Linked DNA regions of Canis lupus familiaris. The protein of the gene in region 2 binds, or shares a complex with, the protein of the main gene of each other region. Links are inferred from orthologs where the notes say so. Each region holds a gene or a part of one and is shown on either strand. Other genes may lie near its edges.

Evidence for each region.
Region 1: POLR2E (region 2) and POLR1B share a complex: the UniProt entries of both Homo sapiens proteins name them as parts of the pol I pre-initiation complex. The link is inferred for Canis lupus familiaris from reciprocal best matches to the Homo sapiens genes POLR2E and POLR1B.

Annotation. Positions count from the first base shown.
Region 1 is NC_049238.1:36,969,588-36,973,103, forward strand, and holds part of POLR1B (DNA-directed RNA polymerase I subunit RPA2), read left to right. Parts: intron 1-1,579; coding exon 1,580-1,750; intron 1,751-2,596; coding exon 2,597-2,753; intron 2,754-3,516. UniProt on the Homo sapiens protein: Catalytic core component of RNA polymerase I (Pol I), a DNA-dependent RNA polymerase which synthesizes ribosomal RNA precursors using the four ribonucleoside triphosphates as substrates.
Region 2 is NC_049241.1:58,128,537-58,132,638, reverse strand, and holds the start of POLR2E (DNA-directed RNA polymerases I, II, and III subunit RPABC1), read right to left. Parts: upstream 2,810-4,102; 5' UTR 2,733-2,809; coding exon 2,676-2,732; intron 2,453-2,675; coding exon 2,278-2,452; intron 1,032-2,277; coding exon 916-1,031; intron 504-915; coding exon 423-503; intron 1-422. UniProt on the Homo sapiens protein: DNA-dependent RNA polymerase catalyzes the transcription of DNA into RNA using the four ribonucleoside triphosphates as substrates.

The DNA of each region.
Region 1 (3,516 bases), on a different chromosome or scaffold from region 2:
CGAGGCCCTAGTCTAAGAAATCTAAGAAATCTTAACTTTTTTTGTTTTGAAAATACTAATGGTGGGGTCCCTGGGTGGCTCAGTGGTTGAGTGTCTACCTTTGGCTCAGGTCATGATCCTGGGGTCCTAGGATCGAGTTTCTGTATCGGGCTCCCCGCATGGAGCCTGCTTCTCCCTCTGCCTATATTTCTGCCTCTTTCTGTGTGTCTCTCGTGAATAAATAAATAAAATCTTAAAAATAAATAAATTTACATAACAGAATTTACCATCATAACCATGTTTAAGAGGTTTTCTACTTCTAATGAGGTCTGTTTGGGTAGCCTGTATTTTACCCATTTTATTTTGATTTCTTGGAGTTGTACAGAGTATACTTATAATTTTAAATTTTAGTTTCAGTAGTTTTTTTGCTGTTGTCATTTCTTACTCAGTACATTTGTCTGCCCCCCCCCCACTCCTTTTTTTCTTGACTAAGTTAAACAAGGGGGATTTGTTGGTTTGTTTTTTTTTTTAAAGTACCAAGAATTTTGATTTGTTGCTTTGAGCCTTTTTCGGTACTGTACCTCATTAAGTTCAGGTTTTATCTTTGTTAACTTGTGGGGGTTTTACGTATGTGTGTTCTGTTTGTTTGGGTTTTTTTTAGCTTTTATGTTAAGAATTTAATCCATCTGTTTTTGTTGATGACTTGTTTAGCTGTGAATCCCCAGAAGTTCTGATATATAGGTCTTGTTATTTTTTTTTCACATTTTTGTAATGTGTGTTTATATTTTACCCTGGAGTTGGTTAGTAGAAGTTTTGTTGTTTTGTTTTTTAATTTCCAGGTAGAAGAGCCTTTTCATTGAGTACAGTTTAAAATAAAACCAGTAATATACTACATTCTAGACATCAGAGGACAAAGTTTTACTTATGCATCCACGTGCACCTTCTTGGTTTACCTTTCCTCTAGGCTCCCCTTTACCAGTTTGCCACATAGTGAGGTACCACCCACCCCCCAGAAAGTAGGGCTTTGGCCAATTCTGGATATGAGGTGAGTAGCATTCTGTGTGGTGATGAGACTGGAAGGGCACAAAGTTATTACTGGCATAACTGATTTAAATTTTTTCTTTAAGATTTTATTTATTTATTTTTTTTAACATTTTTATTTATTTATGATAGTCACAGGGAGAGAGAGAGGCAGAGACATAGGCAGAGGGAGAAGCAGGCTCCATGCACCGGAGAGCCCGACGTGGGATTTGATCCCGGGTCTCCAGGATCGCGCCCTGGGCCAAAGGCAGGCGCCAAACCGCTGCGCCACCCAGGGATCCCAAGATTTTATTTTTTTATTCACGAGAGAGGCAGAGACAGGGAAAGCAGGCTCCATGCAAGGAGCCTGATATGGGACTCGATTCCAGGACCTCCGGGATCACGGTCTGAGCTGAACGCAAATGATCAACCACTGAGCCACCCAGGTGTCCCACTAATTTAATTTCTTGATGCTGCTTTTTATATTTGGCCTCCTTTCCCATTCTACCCACCTCCTAGGTGACAGGAGGATAAATTTGAAACACATCACTTCTTCTTAATTGAACTCTGTTGAAAACAGGTATTAAAAGAAAAAAGAATTCCTCCCTGGATGGAAGTGGCCCTTATCCCTATGACAGGAAAACCAAGTTTATACCCAGGATTGTTCCTGTTTACCACTCCTTGTAGATTGGTACGGCCTGTGCAGAACTTGGAATTAGGCAAAGAAGAACTAATTGGAACTATGGAACAGGTATGTAGAACATTGTGATTGGTGCCTGTATATGCTCCTGTTACAGTACACAACTTTCGGAGACTTAATAACCACTCTTTTTTAAAAGTGTTATCGGGGTACCTGGGTGGCTCAGTCAGTTAAGTGTCCAACTCTTGATTTCTGCTCAGGTCATGATCTCAGGGTCATGGGATCGAACCCTAAGTCGGGCTCTGCACTCAGCAGGAAGTCTGCTTCACATTCTCTCTTTCCCTCTGTCCCTCTGCCTGCTTGCATGAGCACCTGTTTCTCTCTCTCAAAACAACAACAACAACAAAAAAAAAAACCAGAAAACTTCTTTTTATAAAGAAAGTGTTGTTGTTCTTTAATAACAATTGGGCATTTGAAAAAAATCAGAATTTACTTTCTGCCTCCTACCAGAACAAAGCAGTTTTCACATGTTCCTTCACTGTGCTTACATATCGAGAAAGAGAGTTGGTGGTCACATTACCTGCCTTCTCATCCCGCCCAGCTCCTTTGCACCTGACTCTGAGTCAGGTGGTGAGGTGGGAACATTCCATTAGACTTAATATTTGCCTACATCTTTGCAGTTGCAAAACTGTGGGCTTTGTGCTACCTCAAAATGTCTGTCTTCCTGTCCTTCACAGTTGGACCAGGGTAGATTTAGAATGAAATGCATCAGGCAAACAGTATTTCTGACCTGGAAGCTTCTCCGTGCTTCCCAGTGGATCCCATCAGTGTTCATGATATGGAGTGGGAACGTTTGCATTCACATCTTTGAGTCCTAAACTCAGAGGGAGGATGAGTTCATATGTTAGCAGTGAGTTATTCTGTGCCTTGAACTTCCTCACCCTTCCTCTCTTCCAGATCTTCATGAACATTGCCATCTTTGAGGATGAGGTTTTGGCTGGAGTTACCACTCACCAGGAGCTCTTCCCTCACAGCCTGCTGAGTGTGATTGCCAACTTCATCCCCTTCTCCGATCACAACCAGAGTCCCCGAAATATGTATCAGTGCCAGATGGGTAAGATGGAGTGGAGGGTGGTGGGATTCACACAGAAGAAAAGTGCTTATAACTTTTTTATTTTGAAATAATTTCAAATTCAGAGAAATGTTGTGGGCATGGTACAAAGAACTTCTGTAAGCCCTTTATGTAGATTCTGTTAACATGTGCACTGTTTTCCATTTGGAGGTAAATTGCAGACACGATGCCCCTTTATCCCTAAATATTTCATTGTGTATTTCCTAACAGCAAGGATGTCTCCTTACATATAACAAGGGCAAATATTAACATCAGGAAATTGATGTTAATGACATTGATATTGATGTCATTATACTGTTCTATAGTCCTTACTCTGATTTTGATTGATCATCCCCAAAATATGGTTTATGGCAAATTTTTTTCTGTGTAGCACCTAGTCCAGGATCACGCAGTGTATTAGGTGACACATCTCTTTAGTCATTTAATTCTTTTTTTTTTTTTTTTAAGATTTTATTTATTTATTTGACAGAGAACAAGCAGGAGGAGCAGCAGGGAGAGGGAGGAGCAGGTTCCCCCCTGAGCAGGGAGCCTGATGGGGGCTCTATCCCAAAGCTCCAGGATCATGACCTGAGCTGAAGGCAGTCATCTAGACACTCTCTCCTTAGTCTTTTATTTTTATTTTATTATATTTTTTTAAAGATTTATTTATTTATTTATGATAGAGAGAGGCAGAGACACACACAGGCAGAGGGAGGAGCAGGCTCCATGGTGGGAGCCCGACGCAAGACTCGATTCCGGGACTCCA
Region 2 (4,102 bases):
AGGGGAAACTGAGTCTGTGGGTGTGACAGGCCCCACGGCGCCCCCACACGGGAAAGGGGAGCAGAGCGCCACAGGCTGTTTCCTTGGAGTCAACCATCCACCCAAGGGTCCCAGCTGCCACCCCACCCTGCTCCTGACTCCACGCCTGGGGGGAAGGAGCTATGGCCTGCAGGCGCCTGGGGGGGTATAACCTGGAGAGTGCAGGGGCCCCTGGACAGACCCCACCCCCTGCCCCCCAGCTGCCTGACTGCACACCTGGCAAGTGCCCAGGGCCTCACTGAGACTCCGGCTCTGCTTCCTCCTCCCCACAAAGTGGGAGCAGCGGCACCTGGTGCGTCCCCAGGCCCTCCCTGTGCTCGGGCAGGTGCCACCTCACCAGCCGTCCAGCCTCCCCTCCCGCAGACCCCCACTAAGGCCCTCACCTCGTGCTCCGTGATGTTGATGAGTAGCTCCTGCTGCAGAAACTGCTCCAGGATGTACTTGGGGGCCATGTCAACCAGGGACTGAAAGAGAGGCTGACCCTCACGCACAGCCAAGGCCCAAGACGCCGCCACCCCACCTCTCCCAGGGGCTGAGGGCAGGTGGGAGCCAAAGGGGGTTCCCACGTGTCAGGTCAGTAAGGCTCCTCTGGGAGGAAGAGACCACCCGACACAAACTGTGACACCTAACAAAATGCTCCTGCAGTTGTCCCTGTGCTGGTGTGACGTAGAGAACCCTGCAGGGACGAGCGCACAGAGCTGGCCCTCCGTCCCAAACAGCAGCCCCTCCTCGGACCTGTTAACCACAGGAATGCTGGCACCCATGCAGGGCACCTCCCTGCTCTGGCTTCTGCCCACACGGGAGAGCCGCTCCTTCTCAGATCCCCAGATCCTGGGGCCCATGAGGACGTGCGGCCAACACGAGCAGCGTGCCCACCTGCTTGGCGGAGGGAGTCATGCCCTGCTGTACCACAATGAGGGCCCGGGTGATGTTCTCCTCCTGCATCCGCTGGCAATACACCTTGATGGTCTTGATTCCCACTTTAGGCTCCTCTGGGGACAGAACACACGAGGTCTACACTGCAAGAGTCCCTCCTGCCCCAAGGGCCCTGCTCACTCACCTGCTCGTTCACTTCCACCCTGCTAGGCGCGCGGGCTCCAGCTTGACCTTGCCAAGGTGTAGCAGTGCCTCTCTGGACCAGCTCCCTCTTTCTAGGGCCCCAGGGAACCCACCAGGGTGCCAGTCCTCCCCCCCAGCCCCCACGGAGCTGATGGGTGCCCTGCATCTACCCACTTGGTGGATCCCTCCCTGGAAGCTGAATCTGGGGACCTACGTGGTGCAATGTCTGGAATCCCCAGATGAAGCAGCTGACCTGAAGGACCAAACCCCCTCCCTGCACAGCCACGGTGGGAACCCTCACGCTCACCACAGTACAGGGGCCAAGACCTGCGGGACCCTCTGAGCCTGGTGGAAGGTGAGCAACTGGGTGCCTGCTGCCAGGACGGGTGCGTGTGGTGCACCACATCTGCCCCATCACAGCACTCCCCTCGGACCCTTGCTCACCTGACGGGCAGCGTCAGGGACTGAGCTGTTTCCCACGGAATCCCCGTGTTACAATCCTAACCCCCGAGACCTCGGGTGCAACCGTACTTGGAACTGAGGTCTTTAAAGAGGAGATTCCACCAGGTTGTCAGGATGGACCTCAGTCAGACACAACAGCACAGACACACAGAGGCACGACCTCGGGAACTCATGGAGAAGACGGCCACCGGCACGCCAGGGAGAGGCCTCAGGGGGACCCAGCCCCGTGCACACCCTGGTCTCAGACGTCCTGCCTGCAGCCCCGGAAGAGGTCAGGCTGCTGCTGAAGCCGCCCGGTCTGCGGCGCCCAGTCGCGGCGGTCCAGGTGGACCAGCACGGCCGCTCAGTCCCATTCTGTGGCCCACTGGAGCACACGGGCGCCCCGGGCCCACTCCAGGGAGGGCCCTGCCACAGGCCGACCCACACACGGGGACGCTGTTTGCACGAGCACCAGGAGGGTCCCTCCTGCAAAGGTTTCCGACGCCCTTGCTTCTGGGCAGGGGGCTGGGCCCCCCGGGAGGCCTGCGACAATCCGGCTGCACTGAACGAACAGTCAGCGGGGAACAGAACCCAGGGCTCCCATCAGCACCCCGTGGCACCGTGCGCAGCAGGCTGGGCACTCGGGAGGGCGGGTGTAGACACCGTCCCTGGATGGCTGCACGAGGGCTGCGGACTCCTAGGGGTCACGCAGCCACCCAGGACCCACGCGACCCTCACCTGGAAAGAAGACAAACATCTGGTCGGTGGGGTCGTCGTTGTGGGCCACCAGCACCGTGAGGTCCGTGCGCCGGGGCCGCCCCTCGCTCGGCTTGTCCCCAAACTGGGCCTTGAACTCTTCCAGCGTCTGGTCCAGCTCATCCTGCGTCACCAGGTAGCCGCGGTCGTGGCACAGCTGCAGGGAGCACCAGCCGGGTGACCCCCGGGCTCAGAGGGCGGGGCGGGAGGGGCGCGGCCGGATGACGTCACCGCGGAGAAGGACGGACAGGGCCGCGGCCCGGCGCCTCCGAGCGCGTGGGGACCGCACAGGAAGGGGCCGCAGAGGCCGGGACGCACCCGCCGAGCGCGCCCGGAAGCTCCGAGCTGCGCCCGCCGCCGCCCTGACCGCGCGGGCTCACCTGCATGATGGTCTTGCGGATCTTCCACAGCCGGTACGTCTCCTCCTCGTCGTCCATGGCGGCCGCCGCTCGCAACCCGCGCGCCTGAGCCCGCGGCAGGGGCCCGCGCTGACTGCGCCTGCGCCGAGCCCTGCCAAGCCCCGCGCGGGGCTGCCCACAGCGAACGCCGGACTCCAGAGACCTTCGCGGGCGGCAGCGCCGAGGGCAGCCCGGGCCTTCTGCGAGCGGCGGTGGGCGGAGCCAGAGCCGAGCGAACGGGACCGCCCACTCTCGCCTCGGCAGTTGTCGCGGGGTTTCGGCCGCGGGGCCTGTCGGGAGTTGTGGTTTCCGCCCGATGCCCGTGTGGGTGGGGAGTTTGGAATCCGGAAGGGCGGAGGCGAGGTGTGGGCGGGGAAACTGAGGCCAGGGTGGGGTCAGCGGTCAGCTCGCCTCCCCGGGGCGCAGGGCATGTTGTCAGGCCCCCCACCAGGTACGCATCCCGCTGCTGGGCGTCGCCGCCGCCTTACTGCGCAGCAGCCTCGGGTCGCCCGGGTGGCTCCGTGGCTGAGCGTCCGCTCGGGGTGTGATCCCCGCATCGTGGGCTCGAGTCCCGCATCGGGTCCCGCAGGAGCCTGCCTCTCCCCCAGCGGTTCTCAGGAGTAAATAGTCTTAAAAAAAAAAAAAAAAAAAAGAAAGGCAGCCCGGGTGGCTCAGCGGTTTAGCACCGCCTGCAGCCCAGGGCGTGACCCTGGAGACCTGGAGTCCCACGTCGGGCTCCCTGCGTGGAGCCTGCTTCTCCCTCTGCCTGTGTCTCTGCCTCTCTCTCTCTCTCTTTCTCTCTCTGTCTCTCTGTCTCTGTCTCTCGAGAATTAAAAAAAAAAGCCTAAGCAACGGAGCCCCCCAGGCACCCCCTCCGCCAGCCCGTTTTTTCTTATCTGCCGTCTACACCCGTTTCTCCCTAGTCTGTCCGCCCTGGGCCGGCAGCTCCGCTCCTCCGTCCTGCCCCTTCTCCACATCCTGTCCATCCTGTCCGACTGCAAACCCTCCACCTTCAGAACTGCAGGCGCCGACGTGAGCCCCCATCTGTGGCCCTCTCCCTCCTCTCCCCCTCCCCCATCTCTCAGCTGAAATGCAGCAACAGCAAAGGAAAACCCCGGCTTTTCAAGGCAATCAACGAGGCCTCCCAGGTGTGCCCCAGGCTTGCCCCACGACAGCCTCTGACCTCCCCTCCCCCCTCCCCCGGGGCCTCCTGCAGCCAACGCAGCAGGCAAAGTGCAGCCCCAGGGCCTTTGCACACATTGCACCCTCTGGTGGATACGCCCTTCTTCTGACATTCCTACAGCTGCTCCCTCTCCTTTGACCTCTTCCTGCCAGCCCTCTCGCTCCCTGCCTTCCCTGAGTCCCTTGATTGTTTTGTTTTTTTTTAAGATTTTATTTATTTATTCTGA